Linked DNA regions of Neurospora crassa OR74A. The protein of the gene in region 3 interacts with the protein of the main gene of each other region in a pairwise test. Links are inferred from orthologs where the notes say so. Each region holds a gene or a part of one and is shown on either strand. Other genes may lie near its edges.

Evidence for each region.
Region 1: the proteins of NCU03401 (region 3) and NCU02264 interact in binary tests that used the Saccharomyces cerevisiae proteins (3 or more experiments, as listed by UniProt). The link is inferred for Neurospora crassa OR74A from reciprocal best matches to the Saccharomyces cerevisiae genes GIM3 and PAC10.
Region 2: the proteins of NCU03401 (region 3) and NCU06941 interact in binary tests that used the Saccharomyces cerevisiae proteins (3 or more experiments, as listed by UniProt). The link is inferred for Neurospora crassa OR74A from reciprocal best matches to the Saccharomyces cerevisiae genes GIM3 and YKE2.

What each region holds. Positions count from the first base shown.
Region 1 is NC_026507.1:3,135,930-3,139,955, reverse strand, and holds NCU02264 (prefoldin subunit 3), read right to left. Parts: upstream 2,624-4,026; 5' UTR 2,597-2,623; coding exon 2,406-2,596; intron 2,139-2,405; coding exon 1,904-2,138; coding exon of another isoform or gene 1,772-1,903; exon of another isoform or gene 1,725-1,771; intron 1,642-1,724; coding exon 1,417-1,641; intron 1,335-1,416; coding exon 1,218-1,334; 3' UTR 634-1,217; downstream 1-633. Other genes in the region: period clock protein FRQ, read right to left, coding at 3,794-4,026. UniProt on the Saccharomyces cerevisiae protein: Binds specifically to cytosolic chaperonin (c-CPN) and transfers target proteins to it. Binds to nascent polypeptide chain and promotes folding in an environment in which there are many competing pathways for nonnative proteins.
Region 2 is NC_026507.1:844,082-847,516, forward strand, and holds NCU06941 (prefoldin subunit 6), read right to left. Parts: upstream 1,957-3,435; 5' UTR 1,758-1,956; coding exon 1,694-1,757; intron 1,640-1,693; coding exon 1,569-1,639; intron 1,475-1,568; coding exon 1,350-1,474; intron 1,292-1,349; coding exon 1,171-1,291; 3' UTR 866-1,170; downstream 1-865. Other genes in the region: NCU06940 (hypothetical protein), read left to right, coding at 51-87, 189-865; NCU06942 (vacuolar protein sorting-associated protein VPS4), read left to right, coding at 2,624-3,276, 3,354-3,435. UniProt on the Saccharomyces cerevisiae protein: Binds specifically to cytosolic chaperonin (c-CPN) and transfers target proteins to it. Binds to nascent polypeptide chain and promotes folding in an environment in which there are many competing pathways for nonnative proteins.
Region 3 is NC_026502.1:844,820-847,867, forward strand, and holds NCU03401 (hypothetical protein), read right to left. Parts: upstream 1,559-3,048; 5' UTR 1,522-1,558; coding exon 1,507-1,521; intron 1,445-1,506; coding exon 1,242-1,444; intron 1,184-1,241; coding exon 991-1,183; 3' UTR 636-990; downstream 1-635. Other genes in the region: NCU03400 (hypothetical protein), read left to right, coding at 2,332-2,424, 2,500-2,531, 2,591-2,672, 2,750-2,776. UniProt on the Saccharomyces cerevisiae protein: Binds specifically to cytosolic chaperonin (c-CPN) and transfers target proteins to it. Binds to nascent polypeptide chain and promotes folding in an environment in which there are many competing pathways for nonnative proteins.

The DNA.
Region 1 (4,026 bases), on a different chromosome or scaffold from region 3:
AAGGGTTGATCCGAAGGGGAAAGGGTACACAGTTGAGTCTACAGAGTCAAGGCAGGCAGGCAGGCAGGAAGGGGAAGGAGGCCGGAGCCCGCCCGTGATGGAGATCGTTTAATTGGGGTTCCGTTGCAGAGGGCCGGGGCCCCTGAGATTCCGCCTGCCCCTGGGGGCCGCCTGCCCGCTTGGGACCCGACGTTGGGGCCCCATCCGCTAAGCTGCTTTCTGCTGTTGGCGCAGGGCACCTCATCCAGTATTCAGGTCGGGCCTGGTCTGCCGTTCGCCTGCCGCCGTACCAAACAGAGACAGAGTCAAAAGACTCGGGACCCCGTCTCCGAAACGAATGCCGTCGTCATGGCGGTCAAGACCACAGATGTGCTTCCTCACTCCCGAAATAGGGGTTTCAGTTTCCAGGGGGGCGGGGGTGGCTCACTTTTGACAAAACACTGACAGCGAAACAGACAGGTCAACGGCCGCCCGAGCGCCCTGCCTACATGCGCATTGGCCCCCCGCCCATCTGACTGTCTCGACTGGATAAGACTTGGGTATGTACACCACTTGATAAACGATGGCGACGATCGATCCGCGACTACACTACAACTCAACCAGACAAACTCGCCCCCTCAGCCACGTGATCTCCTCGGATTGGCTTTTGGTAACGTTGTAAGGCTATCTCGGTGTATGTTTGCGGTAGGTATCGTGACAATCTAAACAATGAGCCATAGCGTCGATCTCTCTTGTAGCCAAGTGATAGACAGTAACTTCCATCACAACCAAGAACCCGGGCGGGAAATATAAAAAGTCATCATCGTGCCTTGATCATGAGGCTATGGGCGTTGGAGGCCGCCAAACTCAAATTCTCTTTAATCTCTCGAGGTCGTAGCCTTGACCTAGGCCAGAGCGAACCTCATCTCGCCAGTCCCACTTCAGTCTCTCCAAAACGACAAACCGCTTGCGTGGCCCTTGTTCCTTTGTCTCGTGAACAAATGGCTACTGAGCGTAATACGACGCAGAATATCTGTGAGGTATCGTTCGCTATCATGTTGCTTTCAAATCAAGTCCAACTTACCAAGCCATCGTGAACCTCGTCTCACATGATCGCGGCCAGCAGCAACCTCGGCCGGCCTCCCTCTATTAGACATTCTTCAACCGTCGTTCGCTCCCATGGCATTTCGTGATGGTGCATTATCTCCTCGCTTTCTGTATTAGACCTAATCTCCTCTTCAACCGTCCGACGCCGTCTCGCTCTTCTTTCCTTTTGTCTTCTCCTCCTCCTCCTTCTCTTTCCTCTTCTGCACGACGTCCCAGTTGTACACTCTGGCAACCGCAACTTCCATCGTCTATGGCGCATCGTTCAGGTCAGTCAAGGTTCCAAGATCGGTAACAGAACTACCATCTTCGCGTTCTCCGCCCAACACGTACCGTAATCTGTTCTCTCAAGAAATCCAGATCCTCCTCGCAGTTCTGCAAGCTCTGCGTCGCCGCCTTGAGCTTCGAGTCAAGCAGCTGCTCGGCCTCCTCAATGGGATACGACAGCATGACGTTGGCGCCGAGCCAGATGTACACCTCGTCCGTGGGTGGGATCTTGGCCTGGGCGTAGAGAGTCTCGTTGAGCTCGAATGTGGTTTCGATCGGGTCTGATTCGTCCTGTAAAACAGACAAAGTAAAAAGGTGATCTTGTCAGCGTGTCTTGTTCGTGTGCGACCGTATCTTCGTCCATCCATCCATACATCAATCCACGTCCTTGTTGTTCATGCTCGTCCTTGACCTTTGGTTCTCAATTACCCTTTCCCCCCGCCCCGGGCGCATTTGGTATTGTGCCCGCTGTATAGCTAGCTGTATAGCCCGTATGTTCGCGTGCCCTGAAGACGGAGGTGTGTGTGCGTGTGTGCGTGTGTGTGTGTCGTACCTTTCTCATCTGCAGGAACCGCACCGTGTCCAGCGTCTTCTGGATATCCGGCATCTTATCCTTCAAGCCCACCACCCGTCGCTGGAGGTTCTGCTCCATGAATTGGTACTTGGCAATCAACTCTTGGAACCGCCTCAGGGTGGGTTCGACATCCGCGCGAGACGTGACATAGTCCTCGACCTTGTCGACGAAGGGCGCCTGGGGGATACCTCGGGGGTTCGCGGGCGTGGCATCACTGTAGGTTTGGCGGAACGCGGGAGCAGCAGGTCAGCTTGTTTTGTGTTTCTATAGGTAGGCTAGGCTAGGCTAGGCTATGCTAGCAATGAGGAATACTTCGAGCCATGTCCGACTGTTGAAGTTAGGGGTGATGACATGAGACTCGTCGTTCAAGAGGGGCAAGACGTTGCTTTGTCCTGTCACCACCAACATAAGCTCTGATGCTTGGCCAAGGTAGGGTAAGGTAAGGTAAGGTAAGTAGGTAGTTCAACTGGGACTGACTTACCGACCCGCAGTTTCTACTTCTTTTCCTTTGGTTGCCATTCTGAGTATGGACCTTACATGTCGGGTTGTAAGGGGGAAAGGAAAAGACCGATCAAGGCGGGGAGCTTCCACTTGCGTGCCTCGGTTGGCGCCGAGCTCGTTGTTTACGTAGGTAGGTAGGGCCGTAGGTAGAGGTAGGTGCGATATGGTCATGGATGGAACCCCAAGGGCTGACTTGCCCGCCCGCACCTCGCTGAGCTCGCTCCCCCGCCTGCAGCCAGGAGTCCGGTCGAATCGATTTCATTAAGGTGGGGCAGGCCCCTGCCCGCGTACAGTACAATTCACCTCTGGAAAGTTTTGTTAGGTAGTGAGAGACCTTGAGTCAAGGGAGTTTCTGGGCGGGTGAATCCAAGCATATGTGCTTCACTGGATCGGGAAGGCTTGGAATCAAAACGATCATGTGAAGCCCTCGTTTTTTGACGTGTCTTTTCCTGGATTGAGATATTTGTACATGTCTTTTTGTGTGCTATGGTACTGCTGGCGATGGCTTCATCAGAAGACCCATGCTAACAAACAACCGACCGTTGGACTGTGATGACGACCCTGATACTGTCTGTGTAGCCCGCCCAGCGTTGGATTAATCAGGGGCTTGCTGATAATGCGCTGAGGGTCTTACGCCCGACCTAGGGATCCACGATTACCGCTCGATCATCAAAACGTTCCGGCAGCGAGGCCATCGTGGAGACAACGAACCGGGACTAGTGATCGATTCACTTTGAAATCCTATATACACTACATGCCCCATCAGACCTACCACCAAGTCCAATCCTTATTTTACGGGTGCACCCGTTGCGACTGATGTCACCGGCCTTCTGCTACTACTGCGAATCGTTGATACGAATTTAAAAAAACAGGTATGTTTTTTTCTGCACACGGAGTCATCTACAAGGAAGCCAAGAAAAAAATATCAGAAATAAAAAGATGAAGAAGAAAGATAAAACCCCCCATAAAAAAATAGCCAGAGAAAAAAACCCAAAAGCCACACCGTTTGAAATCCAAACAACACTAACCCAGACGCCCCAAAAAGTCCCCAACTCAACACCCCCTCCCTCCACCCACCACCCACCACCCATGGCCGCCCCATTCATGGGATCCAGATCCCTCACCCGGCAATCACCTTCGTTGGATATCCATCATGCGTATCGAGTCCCCGAAAAGCGACAATTGCAACTCCCCTGAAAATGGCAAAAGCCAAGAACCCGCGCGCTCGAAACAACCCGCTTGCCCGCCAAAGCCAAAAATTCGAGAACACCGGTACCTGATTTCCTGACACCAGCCGCAATGCGTTCCTTTTGCTCTCGTATGCTCCCCGCGTCTTCTTCTCACATAGGAAAAATACCCACTCAGGTCTCACGAGGATGAGACGTCCTCCATCGAACTACTATAGCCACTCTCTGCCCCACCAGCGGTTGCAACCGAGCTGCCAGTGTGCAGCATGTCCACCTCTTTTCCGGTGACGGCTGCCAATGGGCTGTCGTCCCCATCCACCGCTTCTGCCCGCGGCATCATCGCCCGCATGTTGTGGCCGCTGTCCGACAAGCGATTGTCGTCGCTGTCCATCCGCACATCAGTCTCGGTATCGA
Region 2 (3,435 bases), on a different chromosome or scaffold from region 3:
ACCATTCTCACATCTCAGTGATACCCTCAATTTTCTTCCTCTTCATCACAATGGCGTCAACAGTCTCCTCCATAAGCCCAATGCAAGGCAAGTCCACCACAACTCCTCCACCCAGCCCTTTCCTCCTCCTCTCACAGCCCTCACGTCCGTCACGCCCAAACTAACACCCCATCTTCCTACATAAACAGCCAGCATCGAAGCAGCAGCCGACAACCTATTATTCGAACAGGGCCGTCTCCTTGTCCCCCCTGAGACCTGCCTCTCCACCCTACTCAAACAGATCCTCGTCCAATTCACCAACACCTACGCCCTCCCGGATGGCAGTCATGCCCTCCTCTCCCAGCCCTCCAGCCTCGACCGTATCCTCAACTCCATCTTCGACACCTCCTGCCTCGCCTTCGTGACCGAAAAGGAATTCCGCATCGAGGCTGGGCTAGACGACCACGACAAGGTGACGCTGTTCGTCCAAGCTGTTGCGGGGATGGCCATGGTTTTTGAGCGGCTCTTGCGTGCTTGTTCTTCTTCTTCTGCAGCTTTCGCAAACTCTGGGTCAGGAGACTTGACGACCAGTCTCCTCTCCAGGGAGCTCCAGCTCTTTGCCGAGAGCGAACAGCGCAGAACGATGCTGGATCGTATCGGCGCGACGTCCTTGCTGAGCCATTGTTATACCAAAGACGAGCTGGTCAGCTTTGTGGTGGCAATGGTGGAGGATCCGGATCGGGCGTCCCAGCAGGGCGGGAGTAGTCTGCTCTCGCTGAATGCGGCGGGCGAGGATTTGTCGAGTGATAGTGTGGCATGGGTTAGTGGCCGAAGTTGCAAGAATATGGGGCTGCCGTGGGGGTTCACAATTATGGCGCTGAACTGAGGTTATACTAGACAGGATGAGAAGCTGCGGTCTGTCGGTGGGTGGATGAGTAAGGGTCAGGGAGAAGGGGGGTGTAAGTTGTGTTTTGGTTATCCCCATTCAGCGATTTTAGAGCAAGGCGTCAAGGGGTATCTTGGGGGAATCTTCAATGAATACATCACGTAATAATTACCGTTTGGTAAAGAAATCGACCTATGACTGCATTCACGAGACAGTTTCCCCGGAGCGCTGTGTGATGAATCGTACCTGCGCCTGATCTCGATTGGGTATAGTGGACATTCTTTCCGTAACTGATTTCATTAGGTCTAAGCCTTGACGGCCTGAGGGGCACCACCAGCCTGGGCGCTCGTCTGGACCTGAATGATCTCTGTCCTCTTCTTCTCAATCTTGCCCTGTGTCTCCTTGATGACTCCCTCCAAGCGAGTGCTGTGACAGTGGGTCAGTTGCGTTGTAACTCAAGATCCCATGCAGCAGTTCAACTTACATCTCCTTGCTGATGAACTCCAGTCTACCCTTGACTGTGTTCTCTGCATCCATCTTGTCCTGCTTGAGCAGCACCGGGCCCACTAGCTTGAAGATCTGCTCGTCATCCTTGAGCTTCTCGAACTCCTACATGGTGCTCAGTTAGTCCCCATTTTTTCCTTGGGCAGAATTTGGCGAAAGGCATTGGGCATGCGAGCGCGATGCTTGGAGAAAAGCTGACATTTTGCACGCTGACGTTTTCCTGCTTCTGAGCCTCGAGCTTCTGTCTGGCGAGAACAGTCTCTTGGAGTTCTGAGGTACAGTTAGTGAATGAACTACGGGGATATCATCATAAGGGGGGCTCACCTTTGTTCAGGTTTTGATACTCATCAGAGAGAGCTTGGAGCTTTAGTTGGAGGGGGCTGGCCATGGCTGCTTCTTTGAGGGTGATGTGAAGTGAGAGACAGGGTTATGCTGAAAAGTTACTAGGCGATGACGTTCGAAAACTGAAAAAGGGTTTGGACACAGTGAGGGAGGGAAGATGATGGATCAAAATGCAGGAACAAGAAACACAGATGAGCTCCAGTATGGGGAATTTGGAGGTTTCTATTCCGGGGAACTGAGCTCGCTGTGCAGTCAATCGTCAGGGGTGAGCTGAGCAGATCCCAAAGTCAGTGCCCAAGCTTTAGCTGTTAGTGCAGGAGTGTATCCTCAAGCAAAGTACTAACAGCCCCAGACCAGCGCTCTCTCCACGCGCAAACAAGTGGCGTCAGTGGCCCCCAGGCCGGGAACCATAACAGGACCCCGCGCTACGCTAGCGCTTCCAGGTCAACGGCCAAGACAAGTCGACCTCGTTGCTTGAAACTAACCAAGATATGGACAAGACCACCAACGATCTTCCCCTCTCCAATTCCACCTCAGACCAGGGCGCGACACCAACTTTTTTGTGCCAGAAGACAGTCTTGCCGTAGTCGTTGCCAGGTGACGCCCGCAAGATACGACCAATTCCCGATTTCTCTTCACCTTATCTCTGCCACTCTCGTTGCCGTAGCCTAGGACAACAGCAGTCGTCATCAACGGGTCTCCTCCCTCGCATATGGCCATCTGTTGACATTGACTTCGAACCTCGGCGCGCGAATATCAACAAACTCTCCTTGTCCGAGCGAAGAAGCAAACAAGTATAACGACTACAAACGCTTACTACGGCGTACCAAGAAGAGCGACCAATCCTACACTCGACTAAACCACGAATTCACGCGACATCACTTTACACGCTTCGAGCCGCCGCCGCACAAAATGTCCAATACCGACTTCCTCGGCCGCGCCATCGAGCAAGTGCGCAAAGCCATCGAAGCCGACAACGCCGCCCAGTACGACAAAGCCTACCAGCTGTACTACCAATCGCTCGAACTCTTCATGCTCGCCCTAAAATGGGAGAAGAACCCGAAATCCAAGGAGATGATCCGGGCCAAGACGGGCGAGTACATGGACCGGGCCGAGAAGCTCAAAGCGCACCTGGCGGACGCGGAAGCGAAGCGGAAGAAGCCCGGGATGGTGGGCGCGAACGGGGGTTCGACGGGCGGGACGGGGAAGGGGAAGGAGGCCGGGGAGGACGGTAATGGCAATGGAGAAGCGTTGGATGAGGATAGCAAGAAGCTGAGAAGTGCGTTGGCGGGCGCGATTCTGCAGGAACGGCCGAACATCAGCTGGGATGATGTGGCTGGTCTAGAGGGTGCCAAGGAGGCCCTCAAGGAGGCGGTCTTGTTGCCAATCAAGTTCCCGCATCTGTTCCAGGGGAAGAGGCAGCCGTGGAAGGGTATTTTGCTGTATGGCCCACCGGGAACAGGAAAGAGTTATTTGGCCAAGGCAGTGGCGACAGAGGCGAAGAGCACGTTCTTCAGCGTGAGCAGCTCGGATTTGGTGAGCAAGTGGATGGGTGAGAGTGAACGGTATGTTTTGTCCTGTTGTCTCTGTCCTTATGCCACTATCGTGACTGAGAAGCTAACGATTTTCCAACAAAAAACAGTCTAGTAAAGCAACTCTTCGCCATGGCCCGAGAAAACAAGCCCTCCATTATCTTCATCGACGAGATCGACGCCCTCTGCGGT
Region 3 (3,048 bases):
GCGGAGATGAAGCATAGCCGTGGGTGTGGCTGTTTCCAACTGGTTGGATCCGGGGTATCGTCACTTGCACGTCGAGGGCCAATATCTATATATATGTCTGTTCGCCACGGTCTGCAGCCTCAGGCCTTTTTCCCAGATCGACTTCAGGAAACTCTGTCATGGACATCAAGAAAAAAAACTCATTCGAAAGTCGGCAGCATTTTGGCTCGAGCTGTACTGATCAACGGGAACAGTGGTCAGCATTCCATGGGCCGGCCCTGCCAGTGAACGCAGGTTAGAGACTGGCGATTCTGAGGTCGTGTCCTGGACTAAGGCAAGCCGTCCGCGGCGACAATTTCGTTCGATAGAGTGAGTAAGGTGATTAGGACGAGGATCGGGTGATTGGCACATCTTAAATCGCTGAAGCGACGGCAAGGCGTCAAGTCCGTTCCTGCTTGAAGCACATCTCAGCGCATGGGACATGCGATTCTCGCATCTCCAATTATCCAAATAGTAGCAAATGCATATTCCGGCATTGATGGTCAAGATAAGAAGTCTACGAGGCCCCAGGTTGACATCAGTTATATTACCTGCTTCAGTCAGTACGGTAAGGGCGCCGGGACCGAGTTGCTGTATTGACTTGGAGAAAGGCTTACAATGTGTTTTTGGTTCCCACTGACAGCCAGCCGTTGACAGTGGAATATGGTGATAGGGCCGAGGCCCGGCAGCGAGCGGCTTGCAGTACAGGCGCTGCGAGCTGCAGATATGCTTCATTGGGCATTTGACCTGCCGGCGAGTCTGGCCTCTCTACCTGAGGGACTTTGAGTGACATAACATGCACGTTATATCCAGTAATTTGCCCAAGAGTCTGATCATGTTGTTGACGTGGTTTAAGTTGGTAGCGACTGCTCAGCCCTGGTCGATGGAACTGTTGCCAGTGTTGTACACGGAAGCATTATTCACACTCATCGAAAGGGATGTAAGCCGGCGAAATGGGTTGCGGGCATGGCTTCATGTCTCGAGGTTGATTGTCTTTCCAAATCTTGCGTACAATTCCACCTTGAGCCCCGTCATCTCCTTGCGGATGGTTTCAAGCTTGTCATCGAGGGCTTCGATCTCCTTGATGAGTTTTGCAGCCGCGATGCCGAGCATCTCCTTGGCTTGTTCGAGGGGAATGTGGAAGAAGGAATCGCCAATCTTGTACCTGTTGTCGGGTCTCAGTATGTGTCTGGCTACGTGTCGTGCTGACGGTTGCAACTTACTGGACAAGCTCGTCCTCGTCCTCGACAAGCTCCAGTTCGGTTTCCAAGTCGTCGAGTTCCTCCTTCTCCTTGTTTTTGTTCTTGAGCTCCTCTTCGAGGGCGAGTTCGCGCTGGTGCAATCGGCTGAACCTGTTGATCTTGTCCTGGTCCTCGCGACGGACCTCGATCTCGTCGCCGGCCGCCTCCTCGTCCTCTTTACTCAACTGTTTTGAGGGGTGGTTAGCGACGAGCGCGAGAGAGCAGATGTTATGGACCAAGGACTTACCATGCGACGGTTCATTTTGCCGGTGGAGTTGGTTGGTGATGTTTGATAGCGGTACAGTACATAGATAGAGTCGTTGGGTGGTGACGACTGACGACCTAGGGAGCGACCGAAGCGACGTCGAAGCTCCCGTCTGACCCCACCTGGAATCCATCAGGGGCACAGCGACGGGAGCTGTTCATCGACGCCAGGGGGGGGGGGGGGGGGTACTACCCAGGTACATACAGTCAGTACCCTAGTACGAGCAACACCAAAAATCCGGCCACAAGTATTGCTCAAACAGGGGGGATTGCTGGTGCTGGGGTAGGGTGCACGGGCCATACTACCAAAACCTGCACTTCTAGGAAAGCCTTGGCGCCCAGACCTCCCCATCCCCTAATGTAAAAAGTGTGTAAATAGCGGGTATAAAGTAGTATCAAGGCTATAATTGGGTGAGAAGTACCCTTACTTTAGAGCAAATTACTAAATAGACTATTACTGTATACTCGTTTGCTCTTACACATATAAAAAAGAGAGTTTTGGCCCATACTGTTGCAAATACAGGGGGGGTTGCTCATATACAAGGTTGCTCTTACAAGGGTTTTCACTGTACTTCATGGTGGGGTTGGGGCTCTGCTACCCGATTGGTCACAACGTCTGTGTTAGTGCTAAGTCCTCTGCGCAACGCCAAAACATCAAAACAACACATCTATCTGCCCTGATAGTGACCATCAACATCAACCTCGGGCACGGTTGGCCTATTCACAGCAGCAAAGGACATGGTATCGGGGATATCCTAGGTCTTGTCACGATATTCAATCAACTGCAAGAAGAAGTCTGGGCGGAAATATGCCCGGCCAAAAAGCATACCCGCGGGCAACGGTCAAGAAGATTGTCAAGGCCCACGCTAACTGCAATGTTAGCAAAAATGTCGATGTCATGGTAAGCGAAGATAACAATAAAAATGCCACTATTCCCAAAATCCAACGCGTCGCACTAACATCGTGTTTGTCGCAGATCTATCTCGATTATGTTTTGTTCATGCAAACGTAGGAACCACTTCCTCACACCTTCTGAAACGGTATCACGCTAACACACACTCTGACAGCCTCATGAAGGAGGCTACCATCGAAGCCAAGCAAGGGGGTGAACGGGGCATCACAGGTCGGAGTGTCAAGAAAGTCACTGCGGTCAGTTTTCTTCTTCCCCACAACCACGCCCCCCCCTTTTTTTTTGACCCCCTTTTGTTGACATTTTGCTGCAATAGGACACTCTTGCCAAGTTCAAGGGTTGAGGAATTCCAACACTGCGCCTAGACAACACACGGGCTGGTTACCCCCACCGTCAAAGGGATCCCGTTGGAGGTGAAGCAAACGGGAGCATGGTTTCGACGACCTATCAGTTTTCAATAGGGTACAAGTGCATACATGGACTTGTACACGTCCTCATTCGTGGATGTAGGTAGTGACAACAGTTGGCTCATACATGACAAGTTGAATCGAGTGCGGGGGAAGACATCTCGACATCCATCGTACATAATGGTAAAATCAAAATTCATGGTCATGT